Linked DNA regions of Oryzias latipes. The protein of the gene in region 2 purifies or fractionates together with the protein of the main gene of each other region. This does not show direct contact. Links are inferred from orthologs where the notes say so. Each region holds a gene or a part of one and is shown on either strand. Other genes may lie near its edges. The genes, in order: sav1 and lats1.

What was found.
Region 1: the proteins of lats1 (region 2) and sav1 purify together in Homo sapiens (affinity purification with western blotting; 3 studies listed by BioGRID). This does not show direct contact. The link is inferred for Oryzias latipes from reciprocal best matches to the Homo sapiens genes LATS1 and SAV1.

Annotation. Positions count from the first base shown.
Region 1 is NC_019880.2:1,306,914-1,317,875, forward strand, and holds the end of sav1 (protein salvador homolog 1), read left to right. Parts: coding exon 1-70; intron 71-1,202; coding exon 1,203-1,679; intron 1,680-3,677; coding exon 3,678-3,948; intron 3,949-5,200; coding exon 5,201-5,356; intron 5,357-5,493; coding exon 5,494-5,695; 3' UTR 5,696-6,886; coding exon of another isoform or gene 6,887-6,997; 3' UTR 6,998-7,611; downstream 7,612-10,962. Other genes in the region: atl1 (atlastin-1), read right to left, coding at 6,887-6,997, 7,977-7,991, 8,155-8,586, 8,652-8,723, 9,003-9,059, 9,125-9,252, 10,051-10,189, 10,267-10,359 and 1 more. UniProt on the Homo sapiens protein: Regulator of STK3/MST2 and STK4/MST1 in the Hippo signaling pathway which plays a pivotal role in organ size control and tumor suppression by restricting proliferation and promoting apoptosis.
Region 2 is NC_019882.2:17,717,198-17,728,356, reverse strand, and holds the end of lats1 (serine/threonine-protein kinase LATS1), read right to left. Parts: intron 10,940-11,159; coding exon 10,819-10,939; intron 10,241-10,818; coding exon 8,868-10,240; intron 8,575-8,867; coding exon 7,992-8,574; intron 7,495-7,991; coding exon 7,312-7,494; intron 5,727-7,311; coding exon 5,620-5,726; intron 5,545-5,619; coding exon 5,074-5,544; 3' UTR 4,145-5,073; downstream 1-4,144. Other genes in the region: rab10 (ras-related protein Rab-10), read left to right, coding at 1,710-1,796. UniProt on the Homo sapiens protein: Negative regulator of YAP1 in the Hippo signaling pathway that plays a pivotal role in organ size control and tumor suppression by restricting proliferation and promoting apoptosis.

The DNA.
Region 1 (10,962 bases), on a different chromosome or scaffold from region 2:
AACGAAGCGTCCAAACCGGCCGAGGTCCACGGGAAGTATGTGAAGAAGGAAACGTCGCCGCTCCTCCGAAGTAAGCCGCGCAACAAGTTAGCTCAAGTTAGCCGCTATCTGAAAGCGCATCACTGTAGAACGGAGACGGGGAAAAAAAAATTTTTTTAAACAAACTTTGCTCTCATTCCCGCGTCAGAAACTCAACGAGCCACCGAGTGACGTTAGAAACACGGACTTGACGTCTTACCTGCGGGCTGAACCTCAATTCTGCGAAAAACCGCCAGAAAAAAGTTCTGTTTGTTCTGACTGCGCATCTTTCGTTGTTTTTGATCTCAAATGTCGCTCATCGACCTGCAGCCGACGGTTGCGGCGCATCAAAAGGACATTTCTTTGATCTTAAATGTACTTTGATGGCGTAGATGTGCTTTGATGACGTAAAACCGCTGGTTTGAACATTTAAACTTTTGATTTGGTTCAAGCGTTGATCAAATGCAGATGTGAGTTTAATTTGGGGTGGGGGGGGGTCTAGCCATTTTAAAACAAATCATTTTAAAAAAAAAAGAATCTGCAAAAGTAATTTTTAACAATAACACCAAACATCAAAAGATTCATCTGTTCTGTCCTGCAGAAATATTAACATCTTCATGTTCAGCTGATTCTTCTGAAGCATTTTTAGAAAATTCCTTCTTTTCTGGTCGCATATTTGAAACATTTTAGGTTTAGAATTTCAAGATTTGGATGATTTTGTCCTTCCAAACATCAGTCATTTTCTGGTTCTTCTTACATTTGAAATGAGCAGAAATGCTGTCTCTGCCAGAAAACAGGCAATAAATGACCTTAACCCTTGTTCTATCCTAGGCACTTTACCATTGGGGGATGGGTCATCTAGACCCACTAGACAGTGCGCTGAACCTTTTTTCTTCAATGATTTGTGATCTTCACTGGTGTCCATGGATTACATGAAATCTTTCCACCTTTATCCACCTTTGTCCTGGTAGGGAGAACACGTCAATGGAAGAGGGGGGGTCATAGGATAGCACAAGGGTTACATGAAACTGAAACAGTTTCATTAAATGAATCTGTTATAAACTCAAACTCGCTTTCCGTCATTTCGACAATTGTTCGCCAGAAAGGAGGAAACGGACGGTTGTCAGGGTTTCATCTTTGGTGGGAACAGGTTCCTTTGATGCTGAAGTCGTGTTTCTCTGCAGACCTTATGCCCTCGTTCGTTCGCCATGGACCCACCATCCCCAGACGAACCGACGGCCCCCCGCCGGAGTTGGGGTCCTCCACCTACCCCGTTGCATCCAGCCGGGAGTCCGTGGCGTCCCAGAGCAAGAGCGTCCTGCGCCCGCCCGTGCAGAGGCCGCCGCAGGAGGTGGCACGCCGGGAGAGCCACCGCATGTCGGCGCCCCCCTACCTGCCTCGCAGCCTGGGCGACCTTCCCCATGATTACCGGGGCTCCACGCAGTCCTTCCTCACGGACGTGAGCCACGTGTCGGAGAACGGAGACGCGGCCCGCTTTTATTACCCCCCCGAGGCGTATTACGACAGCCCGCAGCAGCAGCGACCCCGAAGGGCGGCAGAGCGCTTTCCCGACGACTACAGATACTTTGAACCCGGCGAACACAACTTCATGAGACATCCCCGCCAGCACACGCCCCCAGCCCCGAGCCGCCCCCCCTCAGGTAAACGGTGTTGGGATAGATTGAAAAGTGTTGTAGAATCAAGATGTGAAGATAAGAATGAAGAGCTGATGGTTTCTACTGCAGGTTTTACCTGAAAAGATGAGATCATCTTTTAAAAACATCTTTGAGTCAACGATCATAGATCTGACATAGATCCTCTGATGGATGATCCACAAATCCATGATCCACAGATCTACGATCCACATATCTATGTTCTACAGATCTATGATCCACAAATCTATGTTCTACAGATCTATGATTTACCGATCTATAATCCACCGATCTATGATTACACATCTATGGTCAATGATTGAAGGGGGTTTTTATTGTCATTGCCGGTGAACAGACAGACATTACAGACTAGACTGCGGCGCCACATAAAACGCTGAGAAACAAAAATGAACAACAGTAAGCAAAATAAAAAATAACAAAAAAAATAGATCAACGGATCTTTGATTTTTTGTCGAGGAAGACCTGCTGATCTATAATTTACAGATCTGCGATCCACTGATTCTATAATGTGTGTACCACAGATCTATAATCCCTTGATCTATGTTCCATTGATGTCTGATCTATAGATCTATTCTCTTTGGAAGACCCGCTGATCCACTGATCTACATTCTGTGGGTCTATGATCCACTGATCTACATTATTCGGGTCTATGATCCACTGATCTACATTCTGTGGCTCTATGATCCACTGATCTAGATTCTATGTGTCTATGATCCACTGATCTACATTCTGTGGGTCTATGATCCACTGATCTAGATTCTGTGGGTCTATGATCCACTGATCTACATTCTGTGGGTCTATGATCCACTGATCTAGATTCTGCGGGTCTATGCTCCACTGATCTAGATTCTGCGGGTCTATGATCCACTGATCTAGATTCTGCGGGTCTATGATCCACTGTTCTAGATTCTGTGGGTCTATGATCCACTGATCTACATTCTGTGGGTCTATGATCCACTGATCTAGATTCTGTGGGTCTATGATCCACTGATCTACATTCTGTGGGTCTATGATCCACTGATCTACATTCTGTGGGTCTATGATCCACTGATCTAGATTCTGTGGGTCTATGATCCACTGATCTACATTCTGTGGGTCTATGATCCACTGATCTAGATTCTGTGGGTCTATGATCCACTGATCTAGATTCTGTGGGTCTATGATCCACTGATCTAGATTCTGCGGGTCTATGATCCACTGATCTAGATTCTGCGGGTCTATGATCCACTGATCTAGATTCTGCGGGTCTATGATCCACTGATCTAGATTCTGCGGGTCTATGATCCTCAGCTGAATCGTCATAGATCTGTAGGTCATAGATCTGCAGTAGGTCTCAAGCGGAAAACCTGGTGTTTATTCAAAGCTTTCTGGACCGTTTGCTTCCCCCTCGTGTTGCTCCCCCTCACCGGAGGTTAAAGGTCACCACACGGAGCACATGCTGATGTTTGACCCGTGGTTAAAGCGGTTCCTGGTGGTTCCTTCACCACATCAAACTCAGACTCTCATCTTTTTTCCCGTCTGGACGTCTTCATTCGTCGTAGAACTTTAGTCTGCGTTTGGGAAACCCGTTTCCATGTCGGTGACTCTTAAACATTTGCTCCTTCGGGCGTCTTCTCGTATCAAATTCCTGCGGGGCGTCTGGATCTTTCTGTGGAAAAGGTCAGGAATGACGATGAGGAGGTGAAGGAGGAGACCGCATTCCTTCTGCCGCAGAATGTGTCTAACTCCAGCCGGCGTTTAGGCGGGAAGCCCCTCCCCTCGCTCGCCTGCAGCTGTCGGACCCGCATTCCTCGCCGACCTTCACCGGGAGCGCTCCAGGAAGTGTTGACGGAGCTCTCCCTGGTGGAGCAGAGAGCTTCCTGTCCTCGGCGCTCCCGCTTCCTTCCGTTCGTCCCGCAGACCCGCCGCCTCTTTCCCACACAGAGAAAACATTCCGGTTTTCCCCGGAGTCTCCCGGTTTTCCCGATGTTTCTCTGTTTCCTTCAGGCATCAGCCAGATCCAGGCCAAGTCTCTGGGGAACCTGTCCAGCCTGGCGGGGGAGGACCTCCCCCTCCCAGCCGGTTGGACGGTGGACTGGACCATCCGCGGCAGGAAGTACTTCATCGACCACAACACCAACACCACCCACTGGAGCCACCCCCTGGAGAGGGAGGGGCTCCCCCCGGGCTGGGAGAAGGTGGAGTCCGCCGAGTTCGGGGTCTACTATGTGGACCACGTCAACAAGAGGGCGCAGTACCGACACCCGTGTGCCCCCAGGTCTGCTAACGCCCCGGTTTCAGGGCTTATTTCAACATTTAAACACCACAAGTATAAATGTTTACATTAATATCAAAACATTAAAAGTGAAACAATTACATTTTATTAGTGTAGCCTAAATTCACAACAACAGTGAATTATGTATATATAAATATATAGACCCCCCCATAACCATGGATGATGGCGTAGCTTTAAGGCGTAAACAGACATTTTTTCCTCCTAAAAAGCCTCATTTGATGCTCAGAAAACCTTCAGGTTGAAAATCAGCTCCGATCCGAACGCCGTCATTCTGCAGTTCAGCCTTTTCAGCTCATTCAACTTTTAGTAAAAAGCTTTTTAACGAAAAATGTTTTTAACATTTTTGTTGGTTTCGTAAAAGAGATTCCAGCCTTTTTGTGTTTGGCATATTTATCTGTGCTGCACATCTTTTTTCATCTAATTTCAGACGATATTGAGCTTCAACTTTTCTGAGAAATCTGAGATTTCTGTAAATCCATCTTTATGTTGGTATTTAGCTGATTGAACTTTTTCATTAATAACAGTTTTTTTAAACTATTATCCCATTTGTTATTTAGTTACTAATTATATTTATCCTTTGAAGATCTTTATAACTCTTACTCATTCAGCCATTTTAAGTGTTTTTCTCTTAATAATTTAGTATTATTTGTATTCATTATGCTGCTGTTTTACCATTTTATTGTGAAACCTGACTGGTTTTAGCTACGTTAGCGTTTTGTTCATGTTAGCGTATTTTTTGTGTTAGCATGTTGTCTATGTTAGCTTGTTATCTATGTTAGCGTGTTGTTCATGTTAGCGTGTTTACTATGTTAGCGTGTCCTTCATGTTAGCGTGTTGTCTATGTTAGCGTGTCGTTCATGTTAGCATGTTGTTCATATTAGCATGTTATCTATGTTACCGTGTTGTTCATGTTAGCATGTTGTCTATGTTAGCTTGTTATCCATGTTAGCGTGTTGTTCATGTTAGCGTGTTGTCTATGTTAGCGTGTCGTTCATGTTAGCATGTTGTTCATATTAGCATGTTATCTATGTTAGCGTGTTGTGTTAACATGTTGTCTATGTTAGCCTCTTGTCTATGTTAGCTTGTTATCTATGCTAGCGTATTGTTCATGTTGTTAGCATGTTGTTCGTGTTAGCATGTTGCTCAGCGTTGTGTAGCGTCTGTAGTTTGAACCCGTAAGACTGATATTCTTATAGAAACTGGTTTGTTCTGTTCTCATGAATCCATGGTCCAGCGTGCCGCGCTACGACCAGCCGCCACCCCTGCCCCCGCCTGTCACCTACCAGCCCCGCCCGGCAGAGAGGAACCAGCCGGTCCTGGTACCGGCCAACCCGTACCACACGGCCGAGATCCCAGACTGGCTGCAGGTGTACGCCCGCGCCCCGCTCAAGTGAGTCGGACCAGAACTGGTTTCTGAGAAACCTCCATCCAGAGAGTTGTTGGTTTGTCTGTTTGAACTGGAGAGAGGTTCGATTCCCGCCCTCTGCAGGCTGTTGAAGACCTTTCTGAGACCCGTCTGCTCCTCAGGTACGACCACATCCTGAAGTGGGAGCTGTTCCAGCTGGCCGACCTGGACACGTATCAGGGAATGCTGAAGCTGCTCTTCATGAAGGAGCTGGAGCACATCGTCAAGTCCTACGAGGCGTACCGCCGGGCGCTGCTGTCCGAGGCGGACGCCCGCTCACAGCGACAGCAGTGGTACAGCAAGAACTTTGTGGCCAACATGTGACGACCTCAGAGTTCATTTTAGAAAACCCATCTGTGCCTTCGCTTGATCCAAAGCATGGACGGGAAGAGGGGCGGCCCCACACGCCTCAAACAGAGGAGCTCTTTGCTGGGCAACAGTCAGAGAGCTGCAGCTTTAAAGTGTGGGTTCTGCTCCGACCCAAACCCCAACGTTTCGCCGTTCCTGCACGCCTCACCCGACAATCCTCCGAAGCTCGGCTGCCATTGATGGACGCCGCTCTGCGTTGGCGCTCGCTCGAAAAACCCGTTTTCCTGAACCATAAGCTACTAGAACGTTTGAATCTCACCAAATATGTGCAATTCAGCATTTTTTTTCTGGATTTTTAATGAATTTTTGTGGACTGGTCCAAATGAAAACCTCCGCTGCTCTGTCGGAGTCAGGACTCGAACACGCCTGAAACCCTGTACCTGTGCGGGAGCGTCCAGCCTGCTCCTATGAATAACCTTCAGAAGCGGTAACGTCTGCGGTGACGGAGGGATAAACGTTTACTTCATCAGCAAAACAAACATTTCTGCGTTTGTACATATTTGTCACATTTAGATGTTTCAAAATAAAACTCAAAGTTTAAAAAAACGAAAAACAAACCCAAAGACGTCCAAACCTGTAAAAAAGTCTTTTTCCTTCAGATCTAAAGACGGAGACTTTTCATCAGAACCGTGGTCACGATGGCGAGTGATGCGCATGAATGAGTGGACGGACGCGGCGGTTCTGCTGGGTTTTTGGTCCGATGGCGGTTTCTCTGAGAGCGTTCATGTGATGAGTGGAGAAGATGAGGCGGTGGGACGTTTCTGCGGCGTCCGGCCCGTCTTCCTGCAGCTCACCGATGATCCGAGGGATCCGGAGCGGCGGCGGCGGCATTCCTCCGCCCCGCCGGTCCGGGCGTAAAGCTGCAGCCGTGCAGGAGCGGCAGGACGATACGGCACAACAGCACTTTGTCACAACCATTAACACAACATGAGGAGCTGGACGCGCATGCGGCAGCGGCGCACCACGACACATCAACGGACGCAAGCGGCTCTCAGAGAAGCGGCGAGGAGGAGGAGGCTGGAGCTCCTCCAGCCGAGCTGGACGCCAAGACGCTCCCGGGGAGCGGCGCCGGCCGGAGTCTGGATCAAGGGTGCTCCTCCGCCTCTGTCCTCCTCTTCATCACCAGTTCAGTCCCTGCGGTCTTCGTCAGTCGCTCTTCTTCTCCTGCTCTGCTTCCTCGTCCGCTCGAGGTCCCGGGAAGGCGTGGTGGTACAGGTGTCTGTGATTGGCCGCCACGTTGTAGAGCTTGTAGAGCGCCTGTGAACACAGAGGGAGGGGCCGGATCGTTATTCGAACCCAAATGGACCCGACTGCACAAAGTTTTTATGGATCACGGAAACAGAATCAGAACTTCTGATGAACCGGCGAGTTCAGCAGCTGGAAGATCCGGAGCAGAAAGTTTCTCCATCATCCTCTCACGGAGAACACTGGACAGAGGAGAACCTTCACAGGAACCAAAGAGGGTCCAAGAACAGGAGGAGGACTCGACAGACCTCTTTGGACTCAGTTCAGGTCAAAGGTCACGACCCAACAGTCAGAAAGAGACTTTAGGACAAACGTGGATCCATGAGAGACGCTGCTGAGGAACAGGAACATCTGGAGGATCCACTGGACCTCTGGACTGATGTTCTGATCAGACACAAGAACATCTGGACTCACTTCCAGAGTCAGGCATGGAGGTGGCAGTGTGATGGTGTGGGGCTGAACGTCCTCCCTCAGAACAAAGATCTAAACTCAGCATGTTTGATAACCTCCATTTAAATCCACATTTTTTATCACCTCTCCTAAACATTTTCTGTTCCAAATATGCACAAATATATTTGTGTGTTTCTGCATTACAAATGAATAAAATTTAAATTATCGATGATAAACGTTTCATTTCATGTTTTGTTTCCTAATTTGCCTTAAATGCAGATCAGAGCTGCAAAGACACAAACGATTGGAAAGTTTCACCAAAATGAAGCAGAAAAAGCTCCACTTGATCCCAGATTTGACTTTTAGTGACTAAAACGTCTACAGAAGAAAGTTTCACCCAAATAAGGTTTGACGGTTAAAAGGCTGATCTGAAGTCAAAAACATTTTTAACTTTTTAAAAACTTTTCTCCGCAGTGGAACCAGCAGGGTTCAGGTTTGAACATGTCTGGGTGTAAAACAGACACGGGAGAACGTCGACCTCCATGCGTGGCGTGGAGCTGGCGTGAGCAGACATGCAGCGGCGTGGACGGGGGTCACTCACCTCGTTGGTGCTTCCCTGCAGAGGCGGGAAAAGAGATGAAAGCAGCGGTTAGTTCGGTCAAACGGAACCCAAACATCTGCTGAAGCTCTCTGCTGCCACCTAGTGGCTCAGAAAGTCATTTATACTCAAGGGCGAAGCCACGTGGACCGGCCTGCCCCCAGGTGTGACCCAGCCTCACCTGGTCCCACAGCGCGCCGGCCACCTGGTCGATGACGGCGCCGAGCTCCCGGTACTCCCCGGAGTAGCGGATGTACGCCCAGGTGCAGAGCGTGATGAGCGCCAGACCCAGGATCATGTTGCACAAGCTGGCGATGATGTCCACGCCCACGAAGCCCGTGATCCCCGCCGCCACGTACATGACGAAGATGACCACGAAGAGTGTGGCGGGCGTGCGGGCGGCGTGGAAAATGTTCTTGGAGTCGTTGTGCTTGATGTACTGGACGAAGACCTCGTCGATCTCGCCCTCCAGCTGCTGCAGGTACCTGCGGCTGAAGTCCTCGCCTCCCATCTTCTTGACGCCGCGGAACAGCTGCAGCGCCTCCTCCCTGACGCCGCCGTGGCGCGCCTGCAGCTCGCTGGGCGCCATGAAGGGCCGGTCGCCCCCGCAGACCTGGAGCCGGGAACAGGCGTGAGCCAGCGGGAACGCGGCGTGTCGGAGAAGCGGGCTCCACCCACCTGCTCCATCTTTTTGTTGTACAGGTCCTGCGCAGCAGCAACCGCCGCCAAGTTATTGGCCTCCGCCGTGGCCTGATGAGAAATGCAAAGGTCACTCAAGGAAGTTGGCTTTTGATTGATAGTTGAGGGAGAAGTTAAGGGGAACCCACAGAGAGCAGAAGTTCTTCACAAGTTTTTCCTCCTTTATGCTTTGAATACAGTAATAGGAAATCTAATTTTCTGGTTTTCAAACAGATCTAAAACATTTTCCAGAAAATAGAGATTTTGAAGAATCCTGAATCTTTTTTCTGATTCTGTGTGTTCGACCCCCTTAACTTCCCCCTGAACTCCTCACGGCCCCCACTGCCGTACCTGCAGCATGGACTTGGGGTGGGGCAGCTCCTCGCCCTGGTAGATCTTGATGTACGCCTGAAACACAAAGCTGTGAGACGCGTCCAGACGGAAGTCGGCGTCTCCTCCGCGCCCGCTCTGACCTTGAAGTACTCCAGCAGGCCTCTGCAGGTGATCCTGCTGCCGTTGATCTCCTTCACGTCGATGTTTCCAGGACTGAGGAGCCACGGAACCAGAACCTTCAGGTTGTTGATGAACTCGCCATCGATCTCTGGACGGAAAGACGGGACAAGGGAAGAGGTGAGGCCGTCCAGACCGGGTTCTGTTCACCTGCTTTCAGTCCAGTTCTGACGAACCGGAGAGAACCTGCAGGAGTCTTTGCTGCTGTGGCTGAAGAAGCTTTGATCAGCTGGTCACAGCTGCACACGACCGACTCATTAGAAAAAAACAACACTTTTCAAAATGGCGGCTTTTCTGTTGCTTTATCTCCATAGCAACCATTCCAGGTTTGGGGTGTCGGGGGGCGATGAGCGGGTTTTCGTCATTTTTAGAGAAATCAGCAGAAAAAAATGTTTGGATTTCCTTGGCAACAGAGGTATTTTGGTTAACCACGCCCACATTCCCTAATATGGTCGTATCCTATGTCATCTCGTTTCCGTTAGCTTGTATTTCAATTAACGTTGTGTTTTAATTCTGATCATACACACTTCCATCAACCCTTTTTTGATACAGGTTTTGATGATTTTGGTTGTTTTTATTTGGTTCTGGTCAGAATGTTAGAATCCACCACCTTGAGTTTAACAGCTTTTAAAGCAAAGTTCAGCGTTTGTGGACCTGCAGCTCCTTAACGACCCGGAAAAGTGAGCGGAGTCTTTGGTTTCAATCAAGTTATTCCATGAGAATGTCGTTCCTCTTTCTGTAGAAAAAAAAACTCCACCTTGATTTAGTGTTTGACATTTTTCCGCTGCGCAAAAAGAAACCAGACGGCGTCCAAAAGCATCTCATTATTAAAGTATTCAGTTTGAACTAAATCAGAAGATTCCAACCTAAAAGCAGCAGAAGTCCCTACCTTTCATTCTCCCGTCAAAGTGGGGGTTGGTGGCCACCTTCAGGCCGGGGTGGGGCATCAGGAAGCAGGAGATGTTGGTGAAGCAGGAGTGGATGTGCTTCCGGACGTTCTGCAGCTCCTCGTGCTGGTTCTCCGAGATCTGCGGCACAAATTCGGCTCCGGTTAAAGAAAAATCGGCGCCGCCGTTGGGCCGGAGGAGAGTCGGCGAGCTCTGACCTTCAGCCTCTTCTCCAGGAACTTGGTGCCTCCTTCCAGGCCGTATGGGAACTCGTACGGAAAGCTCCAGTCTCGCACCAGGAAAATCATGGACTAAAGAAGGAAGGAGGAGCAGCGGCTTAAACCTTCAACACATCTCTGTGGTCGCTGCATGAAAAATGGGTGGAGCCCCTGCTGCTCACCTGGAAGGGTTTGAGGAAGGTCTCCTCCATGGCTAACCTCCCATACTCTGTAAAAAGCTGAAACCAAAAGCAGAATCTTGAGGTGCAGGAGTTGATCTGAAGCTTCAGGATGTCTGTGTTCATGACTGTTAGTTGTTTGTTACCATGGTGACGTTACTGAAAAGGGGGGTCAGAATATGTCTGCATCTGACTGACCAAGCCCCCCCACAGACACACACACACACACACAATCCACTCTGTGTTCCTGAATATAAAGCAAACCAGGAAGTACCAAATGCTGCAGTTCCTGAACTGACCACTAGAAGCTGGTTTCAGAAGGAAGGAACTCAACTTTGACATTTTTATTGTCTGTGGAGGGGTGTGTGTGCTGGTGTGTGTGTGCAGGTGTGCGTGTGCAGGTGTGTGTGTGTGTGCAGGTGTGTGCGTGCAGGTGTGTGTGTGAGCAGGTGGGTGTGTGTGTGTGTGTGTGTCTGTGTGTGTGTTGCAGGTGGGTCTTTTCTTCCCCGTGAAGTTG
Region 2 (11,159 bases):
TGGAGCTGCAGGAGGAAACTGTAGAGTCCAAGCTCCGTCATTAATGAACAGAAAATGAGGAATTAGAAAAGGATGGAGCAGATCATTGAATTCAATTTTCAGGAGAAGCAGGTCAACAAAATAAATGCATCTCATTTAACTGTAGAAGGTTTGAAACCACTGCAGTGGATCCAGAAATGCTGACATGCATGTAGGATCCAAGCATGACAACAGCTGTTACATCCGTGTAAGTTGTCCAACAACTAAAAAAACAGCTCAGGTTTTCCCAAATCTTCTGTAAAAGTTTTTATTTTCCTTCTTTTAAGATTGTAGGAAAAGTAAAATATGCCAGTTACTAAATTAACCTGCAGAAATGACTAAAATGATTTATTTTACCTAAGAAACTATTTGTAAAGCCTGTAGACTAGGCCTGCACAATATACCGCAAATTTATCGTTATCGCAATATCCAGCTCTGCAATATGCATATCGCAAAAGACGGCGAATATCGCAATAAATCGCAAACCCAAAATGTGTTAAAACAATCTTCTAGCAGCTTGAAGCATTTAACAAATCAAATAAATCCCTTTATGCTTTGACCAATCAGATGGACGCCTTCCCATTGTTGACCAATCAGATGGAGGCCTATTATGTTAACCCTGGTCCTGAAGAGCCTCAACCCTGCCTGTTTTCCAGCTCTCCTTAACCAGCTTGCTGTTGATTGGCTGACTCAAGTGATTTCACATCCTGATTGACTGAACACACCTGATTTTGGTTATCATTATCGAGCAGTCTAGGGAGAATTGGAAAACAGACAGGGTTGAGGCTCTTGAGGACCAGGGTTAGCCACCCTGACGTTTTTCCCCCATGTCGATGAGGGTCATTTGGAGTATAATTTTTAAACTGTTGCAATGAAATGGGAATGATGTTTTTGTTCATTTTTCTATTTGTTTATTTACCGCAAATTTATCGTTATCGCAATATTGATCACTAATATCGCATATCGCAAGTTTTCCTCATATCGTGCAGCCCTACTGTAGACATAGATGTGCGTTCACATGTGTTCAGACGATCCCATGGATCTATATGGAGAGAGAAGACTGTCAAAATGAAACCTATGCTCGGAGACAAAGTTGAGCACATTTTGGAGGAAAAAGAAAAAAGAAAAGATGTGAGTGAATATGTGAAAAAGACTTTTCGTCGTTTGTATAGAAAAAGTCGTATTTGAAACAAAGACTAATCGTGTTTACAACAGAAATGTATTCCTTTTATTAAGTTTTGCTTTGTTCACAAGTTTGTCTATGCAAACACTTCATTTTGACAGAAATCTCACCCCAAAATAAAATGGATCAAAACTATATTTTTTTATTTGTAAAATGAATAATTATGGAATAAAAACTGTTTTTGTCTAAAATAATAATACAACAGTTCACCTTAAGGAAAAAAAAAATAATTTCATGGTTAAAACGGACATTTCTAAAGTGAAGATTAAACTTTTCTTCTGGGCTTTAAAGCTTTTAAAGTTGCATTTGACAAATTTCTTTTTTTTTAAATTCATTTTGGGTCGCAGCAATATAGAACCTGTTTGTTAGGGTTGAATTTTCAGGGTTAATTTAATAAAGATTTGTAAAATAATTGTAGTGTTGGTGGATCAGCTGAGTGTGTTCTATGTCTATGTCATGGTGGGGGAAAGCCGTCTGACGTCAGATTTCTGTCCGCTTTGTGCTCCAGACGCCCGTAAAAGAGCCCAACAGTGAAAACGTGGACATCAGCACCGGGGGCGGAGTCACAGGCTGGAAGAGCAAGTGCTGCAGCTGAACGCCACACGCAAACACACGTCTCCCTCTAACTGCTAACTGTCTCGCCCTCTAACCCGTCTCATGAGTTTTCTTGAACACTGACGCCCCCCCGTGTACCTGACCAGAATAAACCAATAAGCCACTTCACTCATCCTAACTCCTCCCCCTTTTCACTCTGCATCCAATCATTTTTATTTCTGATAAAAAGAGGAATCCAGTCACGTTTCTTGTCTTTTCTTTTAAAGGTTGTTGACGATAAAAGTGTGAAAGAGCTCATTTTAACTAAAAAGATCCCCCCCACCACCCACCCACGGCGTTCCCCCCTTCAGTCCCAGGAATCTGCGAATCAGCAAAGTAGGAAGAATATTTTGTACACTCAGTGAGGGGTTCTTCTTTATTGGATCATTTGTAACCAAGCAGCAGAGGCGTGGCCGGCTCCTTTTCTACGTGGGCGTTATTTTGTCCTGTGCCTTAAAAGGAAGACAGGGGCGGGGCTGTGCAGTGGGTGGAGCTACACCCACCAAATGAAATTACTATAATATTTCGTCACAAAGAAGCTGACTGAAGCTAAAGTGTTTGAATTTCTTCTCCAGCTAAGAGAACCGCGTTCTACAGTATGTCCTGTTTATCAATGTTTTCTTTTACTTTTTGTCTGTGTGGTTTCTTTCACTTTTCTTTTTTTTTTTTTTAACCCCCACCTACTTTGGTTAAAGTTTTGTGCATGCCGATATTTTCTCTTTTTAAAGGAGGAAGCGTTTCTGTATGGTGTCTAACTGGGTGGGAGGTGCACACGGTCTCTTTGGAAATTCAAACAATTTTGCAGATCCATTAAAAAAAGGCTTGTTTAAGTTAACTTGTTTGTCCTCTGTCCTTTTCACGCTTGAGTTAGACGGATCCAAACGTACAGCAGCATGATGGGAATGTTTACTTTAAACATAAAGTTTACAGAAATGCTGCTTAATGTGTCCCACTAAAGGTTTAAATAATTGAATTAGGAACTATACATTTCTCTAAAAATGAACTCATGTAAATTCCTGTTGAAGTTGTATTTCCAACCATTAGTTGTTATTTTCAGGCTTTGCTGCCATCTAGTGGTGGCAGTGCTCAAACTTTGTGTTGTAGAAAGGGATTCTGAATTTCCTCACTACTTACTCCACTATTTTAGGGCGTTTGCCATTTGGTCCGCATGTTCGAATCTACATTTCCAAAATCCAGTGTCTTGGAAAATTCCCAGAACTGTCAAAACCAGTATCGATGGTGAATATAGACCACAATGCATTGCACTTTGATGTGTCATTTGGAACAAAAGTACTTAGTTTTCCTCATCAGAACAGATGAACATAAAATGTTCATATTCTTTTTTTTAACTTCAGGAAATGGAGGATGTCATAAATAAAGTGAGTTTGTGTCCAGAGCACTGGATATTCCCGCATGTAGTTTTTTAGGGGTAAAGGAGTAGTGATGGAATTTAGGTAGACTGGAAATTTTTGTAATTTTAGGGCTTTTTAAGTCATATTTATGAAAGAGTATTTGGGCCACTGTAAAAGAAAACGTGCACAAATGAGAAAAATGTGACGGGAAAAGGTCAGCATTTTACAAGGATAAAAATCTAAAACAGTCCTTGTGCTATCTTAGATGACCCCACCCTTACATTGACGTGTTCTCCCTACCATGACAAAGGTGGATAAAGGTGGAAAGATTTCATGTAATCCATGGACACCAGTGAAGATCACAAATCATTGAAGAAAAATGGTTCAGAGCACTGTCTAGTGGGTCTAGATGACCCAACTCCCAATGTTAAAGTGCCTAGGATAGCACCAGGGTTAAAGGAAAATAAACAAGCTTAAATGTCATTTTTTACACGGAAAAGTCGTGCTTTTTCAAAATTCAAAAGTAACATTTAGCTTTTAAATTATTTGAACAAAGATGATTGAACTTGTTCCTCTTTCAGCATATCCCTTCAGGGATTGCCGCAGTGAATCCGCTTTTTACCCAGAATGCCCTTCCTGACAACCCTGCGTTTTATTCCGGTTGGGGACCGGCACAGGGCGACCCAGACTTGGGGCCCCTTGTGGCGTTGAAAACTTTATTCCTGTAAAAATGCCACTTTTCAAATGAATTTAGTTTTGTTCTCAAGTTGTCGACTTGAACTTTAATACATTTCAAATTTTACTACTTTTATGATTTCAATGACTTTTTCCTCATTTTACAACTTGATTCTCATTTTTCTTTAATGGTCTTATTTTTTTGTATTAAAAGTAAAAACACGAGTTTTTCTGGTATAAACACAAACACATTTTGCCGTAACTGAATAAATATAATTCAAATATTCCATCAAGTTTCCACCTGTAGATTAAGGGAAAAGAAAACCTTTCAAATCTGTTTATTTCTGACCCCTCATCCCAGAATCACATGTACAAAAAATAAACTTTAACAACGCAAACAAAAGCAGTGCGGGGCGAGGCGTCGCCGTGACAACTACATTCAGATGTTTCCTAAAGAGGACAGCAAGAACACCCCCCCACCCCCCCAACCACACACGAGGAAGAGTTTACCTTTCATCAGGTGCTAAAAAAGTGTGATTACCCATAATTCATAGTGTTTACTCCACCTGCAGGTTTATTGGGGCTCCAAACCCACATTTTTAGTGCTTTGGTTGATGAAAAAAGTTCAAAGTTCCTGTCAGAGACAGACACTGGCCCGTCTAGAAAGAAGAGGGCGGGGCTATGTACAACCTGTTTACAACTTCATTTATAAATACACTTTAAGTATAAATTAGAAAAATAAGACTAGTGTAGTACGATCAGCTACTGCTACTCATTTAAATGCCAGTCTGATTATTAACCTTCGTAATATTTGGTAAAACCACAGAATCAAAACAAAAGGCACAGCAAAGAATCATAGGAACCACTCCTCCCTGCTATGAAATCCCCATGGAAACGCATTTTAATATAAATTAGGACAACTTCTGAACATTCCTCAGATAAACGCAATTCTCATACACAAGCGGTATCTACAGCTTTAAATAAATTAAGTCGTTTGGGGGTTTAAGAGCACGCCGATTCACTTTTGAACCGTAGATTGTTCCTGAATGTGGGGGCGGGGTTTAAGGGTCCGGCGGAAGAGGCTGATATCAGACGGAGATTCTGAAACTAAGGAACTTCTAACATCTACTGACAGTCTGTCCTAGAAGGGTCAGTGTGGGACAAAAGCAGAACAGCCAGACGTGAGCTCAGACTCCAGTTTTTCCTCATGAAATAAAGTAGAAACAGGCTTTTGTCACGTGACGTGAACCGCTACACGTAGACCTGCTCCTGGCCCTGCGCGTCTGGGGGCACACCCTCGCAGTCCTCATCGTACTCGATGGGTTTGGGGCAGCTGTACGGGTGTCCGTAGCCGTCGAAGAAGCGTCGGAAGGTGAACTCGTAGAAGGCGTGCTCGGGATGCTTGCCGTTGCGGAACAGCGACGTCAGCGTGTCGTTGTGGTTGTTCTCGCTGTCCATGCTCCGCAGTTTGTCCGGGTCCACAGGGTCGAAGTTGGAGGTGTCCATGGAGTGGGCGATGGTGGGGATGTAGGGCGCCACCTGCTGCCTGAGGTCACTGGAGAAGTCGATGGTCCTGAAGAAAGAGTGGGCTTTGATTTCGTCAGCGCCGTTGGTGCCGAGGCGGTCTTTGGGGTCGCGACACAGTTTGACGATGAGATCAGACGCTTCGGGGCTGAGCTTGGCCTGAGGGGGGATGTGCAGCGTGGTCTTCCAGTTGATCACCTTCCAACACAGCGACAGAGGCGTTAGACAGAGGCACACAGGTTCAGGGCGCCTCACCGCAGCTGCTTCGTATACCTTTTTCTGGGTCTCCAATGGGGTGTTGGCGAAGAACGGCGGCTGTCCCACCACCATTTCGTACAAGATGACGCCCACGCTCCACCAGTCGCAGAGCTGCGTGTAACCTGCAGGGACACACCAACATTTGACATCCACACACGCTAAACAACTGCAGTTATGCAGAAAATCCAATCAGCTGCGGAAGAATTTGGCTGTGCATTCCTGCAATGGAAACGCTCGACGGCGTCTGAGTCTTCAACACAAACTCACTGAGATGACGTGTCCAACATGAACCACAAGAATCCTGAATCGTTAGGGAAACTCTTGAGATTTACCTGAACCACGTGAGGACCATTAAAGCTATAAAAAAAAAAAACACTAAATAACCCCTGAAAGCCTAAAGCTGCGTTCAAGCTGAACGCGGTTCTGCAGCCCGAGGTTCAAATATTCTTATTTTGACTAAGAATTTGCGTTACATCAACCAATCAGGAGCTCAGCTTTGGACGGTAACGTACCGATGAAGTAATGGAGGAGACCCGGATCGGCTTCCTCCTGAACTTTCATTTGCATAGAGACAATAATACTAAGGTATTGTGCAGGGGTCGAGCGGTCAACCTCTGATAGGAAGTTTACAGGTTCGATTCCTGCCTTGCCATGTGTCTAAGTGTCCTTGGGTAAGACACTGAACCCCACATTGCTCCTGGTGGTTCAGATTGGCGCCAGTGTTCAACAGCGGAGTGTGTGAATGGGAATGTGACTGTAAAACGCTTTTGCTCCATCCAAGCACACGCCGTTTACCATTTGTGGTCTGATAATTTTATTCTATTTACTCCCTCCTCTGACTAATGCGGGACAGGAAGTCTCCTGCAGCAGACGGTGAAGCTAACTGTACCGGGAGAGTCTCTGATGATGTCATGAACCCAGACATGGAGACGTGATTACCAACGCTTTAGTAGAACTCTTCTAAATAAACCTGGTCTCTCCCACACAAGGTCAAGGACACAAACAGTAAATGCTGCCATGAAGCAATCAGTCCAAGACCTTCACAGTAGCTCCGCCCACACGCATCAGGAGCCACAACTTTATGAACACATTTCCGGGACGAGCGTCCAGCAGAGGCAGTGGACAAAAATGGCATTTGGTGTGAACGCAGCATTAAGAGTTTGTTATTTTTAGACAAAAATGCTTTTATTTGGCTAAAAATCAAAGAAAAAGTGATGTTACAGGAAATATAAATATATAATAAATATATATATTTATATAAAGCTCTGATGTCACTCAAACTTGGAAGCAAAAAATCCTCCATTTGTAAAATAAGAGAAGATACCATTATGTAAAAAGGGGGGGGGGGGCAGCTTCAAAAACTTTCATTCTGAGCTTTTTTTGCATGAAATCTTTCGATTATAGATTAGAAAATTATTTGTATTTATCTGTAGTCATTAAATGTTAGTCTTTTAATTCCTAAAATGACTAAAAGTTTAAAGACAGACCCACTGAAAAATTGGAAAATTAAAATGATAAGATTAGAATTTTAATGATCTGATTAAACTCATTTTTAAATGTAAATGTTTTTTTAAGTAGATTTTAAAGAGGAAGTCACATTTATACAGCAGCTCCATACACTTCTAATATAAATGAGGTAGAAAAATCGACCAAAAAAAGAGAAAGTGGGATCAACAACCCCTCACCCGTATCGCCAGCCCCCCTCACCTGATCTGAGCAGCACTTCTGGGGCGATGTAGTTGGGCGTTCCCACCAGGGAGTGGGCCAGGCAGCGCTGGTGCTCCCGAGCCTTCCTCCTCTCCAGCGGCTTCAGGCGGTCTGAGCAGCGGCAGTTGGCAGACTCCTCCCACTCCTTGCTGAAGTCCATGCTGTCCTGCCTCACGTGGTCTCCTGGCATGGAGCAAAAACTGAGACCTCAGAGTCTGCACAGGAACGACTGACCCTCACACCTAAAACTTTATTTAAACCGGGTGGAGCAGAAACGTCACGGTCCTGAAGATCTTTTTCTATAAAGTGCCTCATAAACCTGCAGAACGCTGTGAATTCGGAGGAATACAGATATTTCTTCATTTATTGAACTGTTTTAGGGTGAATTGTCCTGAAGTTGAACTTTTGTTTTGTTTATTTAAAAGGAAAATTTGTTCAGTAAAGGGAAGAAGTTTTGGAAAATCAATCAACTTGAGTCAAAAGTGAGTTTTGAAATACTTAAGTGTTTTAAAGCAGCAGTTTGGGGCCATAATTTTGCAATTTTTTCGGTCATGGGTTTTTTTCCTCCAAGAAAAGTCTTCTATATTCAGAATTTGGTTGAATCAAACTTAAAAAAACAGTCATTATACAGAGAAGTAGTTCCTCGGGTTGAGGGAATTGAACGCACGGGCGGCACTCACCGCTCTGGTAGTACTTGGAGTCGTGCGTCCAGCGGAAACCGGTGCAGAGGCCGAAGTCTGTCAGCTTGATGTGTCCGTCTCGGTCGATAAGGATGTTGTCCGGCTTGATGTCTCTGTGGATGAAGCCCATCTTGTGGACGCTCTCCACGGCGCAGGTCAGCTCGGCGATGTAGAACTGCGCCAGGTCCTCCTTGAAGATGCCCAGCCGGATGAGGAGGCTCATCATGTCCCCCCCGGGGATGTACTCCATGACAAAGTACAGGTTGTCCTTGTCCTGGAAGGAGTAGTAGAGCCGCACCACCCACTCGTTGTCTGCCTCCGCCAGGATGTCCCTCTCAGCCTTCACATGCGCCACCTGGTTCCTCAGGAGAACGTCCTTCTTGCGGAGGGTCTTCATGGCGTACAGCGACCCCGTGTCTTCTTTTCTGGCCAGGCACACCTGACCGAAGGCCCCGATGCCCAGAGTCTTGATCTGCTTGAACATGGACTTCTCCATCTTGGCGCGCTTCAGGCGGATGTAGTTGGACTCCTTCTGGCAGAGCATCATCCGCATCTGCTCCTGAGCTTCTGAGGACAACCCCACCTGAGACGGAAACAAGCACAGTCAGCAAAAAACACGCCACCTGCAGCTTTTTCACAAACCGTGTTCAAGCGTTAAGTTAAACGTTGGGGTGGGGGCTGGGGGACATGCTAGCATGCTTGACTGATGCAGCTCAGAAGAAGAAGAAGATCAGACCTGAAGCAGCAGAAATGTTTACCTTTCAGATCAGGAAATAAAGACAAAGCAGCTAAGAAAAAAAGAGCAAGAGAAAGGTCAAAGGGCGTCCACAGATTGGGGGAATGGGGGTGTCGGACCCAGAGGGGGAGGTTCCTCACCCGCTGCATCTCGCTCTCCAGCTGCTTCCTCCTCCGGATCCTCTGCTGGTGGTTCTTCAGGATGTTTTCCACGTGTTGCTCCATGAAGAACTTGAAGGCCTGGGGGGAGTACAGTGCCACCCTCCCGGACTCCCCCCTGGGCTCGTCCTTCTTGTTGCGGCGGACGGGGACGGGCGAGGTGGTGATCTGCTTCCTCTCCTTCTCTGCTGCCGCAGTTTCAGGGTTTTCTGGCGCCTTCTCTCTGGAGTTCTCGCCACTTGCCTCCTCCTCTGCCGCCTCCTCTCTGCTCAGCTTGTTGGTGCCAACAACATACGCTGGCTGTAGGAGGTGCTTGGGGTAGGGCGGGGGAGGGCCCTGATAGCCAGGCGCCTCAACAGGAGCCTGGGAAACGGGGAGGGAGGGCTCCGAGTATGTAGGTCCCGGCAGCGCCCCCTGTTGGATCCAGGGAGGGTGCGTGGGGGCGACAGCTGTCTGAGGCTCGGGTTTATGGACTTTGGTGCTCCTGACGGGGTTCAGGATGGGGGCCGGCGTGATGGCGGTGACGGTGGTGGCAGAGGGCTGGGAGCTGGCGGGGTGAGCAGGCCTACCGTTCAGCTGGGGGGTGTTGAAAGAATTGGAGCGGACGGGCACGTTGTGCTGCCACGACGGGGACAGGTCCTGGTTGCTGTTGCAGTTGGCAGGCGGGGGCTGGCTCTGGGACCAGGACTGGGGGGCAATGCCGTACATCTCCAGGTTGTGGCTGTTCCGGTTACTGATCATCAGGGATGGAGGGATCCCGCCGCCGTTGATGTAGGAAGGAGACGAGGCGGGTCCCCCCACCTGGGGGTCAGTGGAGCTGCTCTGAGTAAGAGGGTAAGGGGGAGGGGGCTGTCTGCTCCCCCCTGACACATGCTCCGGTTGGGAGGAACCACTCTGAGTCCAGCTAGAGGGAAAGGTGAACTTGCTCCCCCCGGAGCTTTGCATTATGATGGGCTGGTGACTTCCAGCGGCGGGGCCGATCACTCGCTGGTTCGGGGCTGCGGGGGTTGGATACCCATCAGCCCAGGGGGCCTGAGGCACCGGGGATATGCGGGTGGGGAAGAAATCCATATTTCCAGGGAGGCGGTTAGTCTGCGGGTTGTTGTCCCAGGACGGCGCAGGTGGCATGGCCCGGTTGGGGGGAGGTGTGACGCTGCGCATCTGAGGAGGGAGGGGGGGGTTGACCCTCTGGTTGGCAGTCGGGTGAGCCTGCGAGAACGAAGGGGGGGGTCCGGGGCTGTCCGAGCGGTACATCATCCCGTCCACCATATTGGGGCCGTGGCGAGAGCCCAAAGACTCCATGGAGCCTTTCCAGCTCGGCCTCCGCAGCACCACCTGCGGCATGTGGAAGGCTTCTATACACACACACGCACACACACATCGTTAGACTAAGCACACATTCAATGCCGCACAACAGCTCCATCTTTGGCAAAAAGTGAAACTGCTTACATGCAGGATAATAATCTGATTTGAAATCAATCAATGCCTTGAAACCATAAATTTAGCCAGATTGGGATTATATCTGGGATTAAACACAAACCAGGAATATAGATTAACAAACCACAGCAAAAGATTACATGAATGGAATCTTCCCCTCAGTTATTTAATTTTATTTAGGGATTTTTTTTTTAAATTCAAGCTTTCCTAAATAACCTGAAGAATTTCATAAATGTTCGTTTTCACACAAAAAAAATTTCAGTTTTACCGAGCAGAACCTAATAAGGTGAAACAGTGAGAAAAGTGTCTGAATAACAAAAGCTCCTCGCCGTTAACCGAAGGCGTTCTATGTATCCTCAGAAACAACAGAATGTTTCCTCTCTGTCCAGAACCGCACATCTCTGAGACCGTTGGGTTACACACAAATGTTTAACCAGCCAAATAGACACAAACACTTGTCATCAAACGAAGCAACCGTCACCACAGGAGTGCGTACCCGGGGCTTTCAGGGCTGAAGAGTTTGAACTGGAAGCAGTCATCTGATCTCTCATTGGGTCCTGGTAACTCGGCTTTAACATGTAGTCTGAGGCAACCCCCCCACGGCGTCCACTGGATGGCTTCAGAAGAGAACAACTGATTAATAAGCTTGAAATGTATACAGGAAAGAAAAAAATTCAAATGTTGTGAATTTTTGGAGTGTTAATCATCAACACGTCATCATTAGGCTTTCAGAACGCACAGATGAAGATGACAGACCTCCTCCTCCTCCTCCTCCACACCAACGCCCGCAAATCGTTAACTATGCAGCTTCCATGGTATTAACTGTACCAGCTTGTC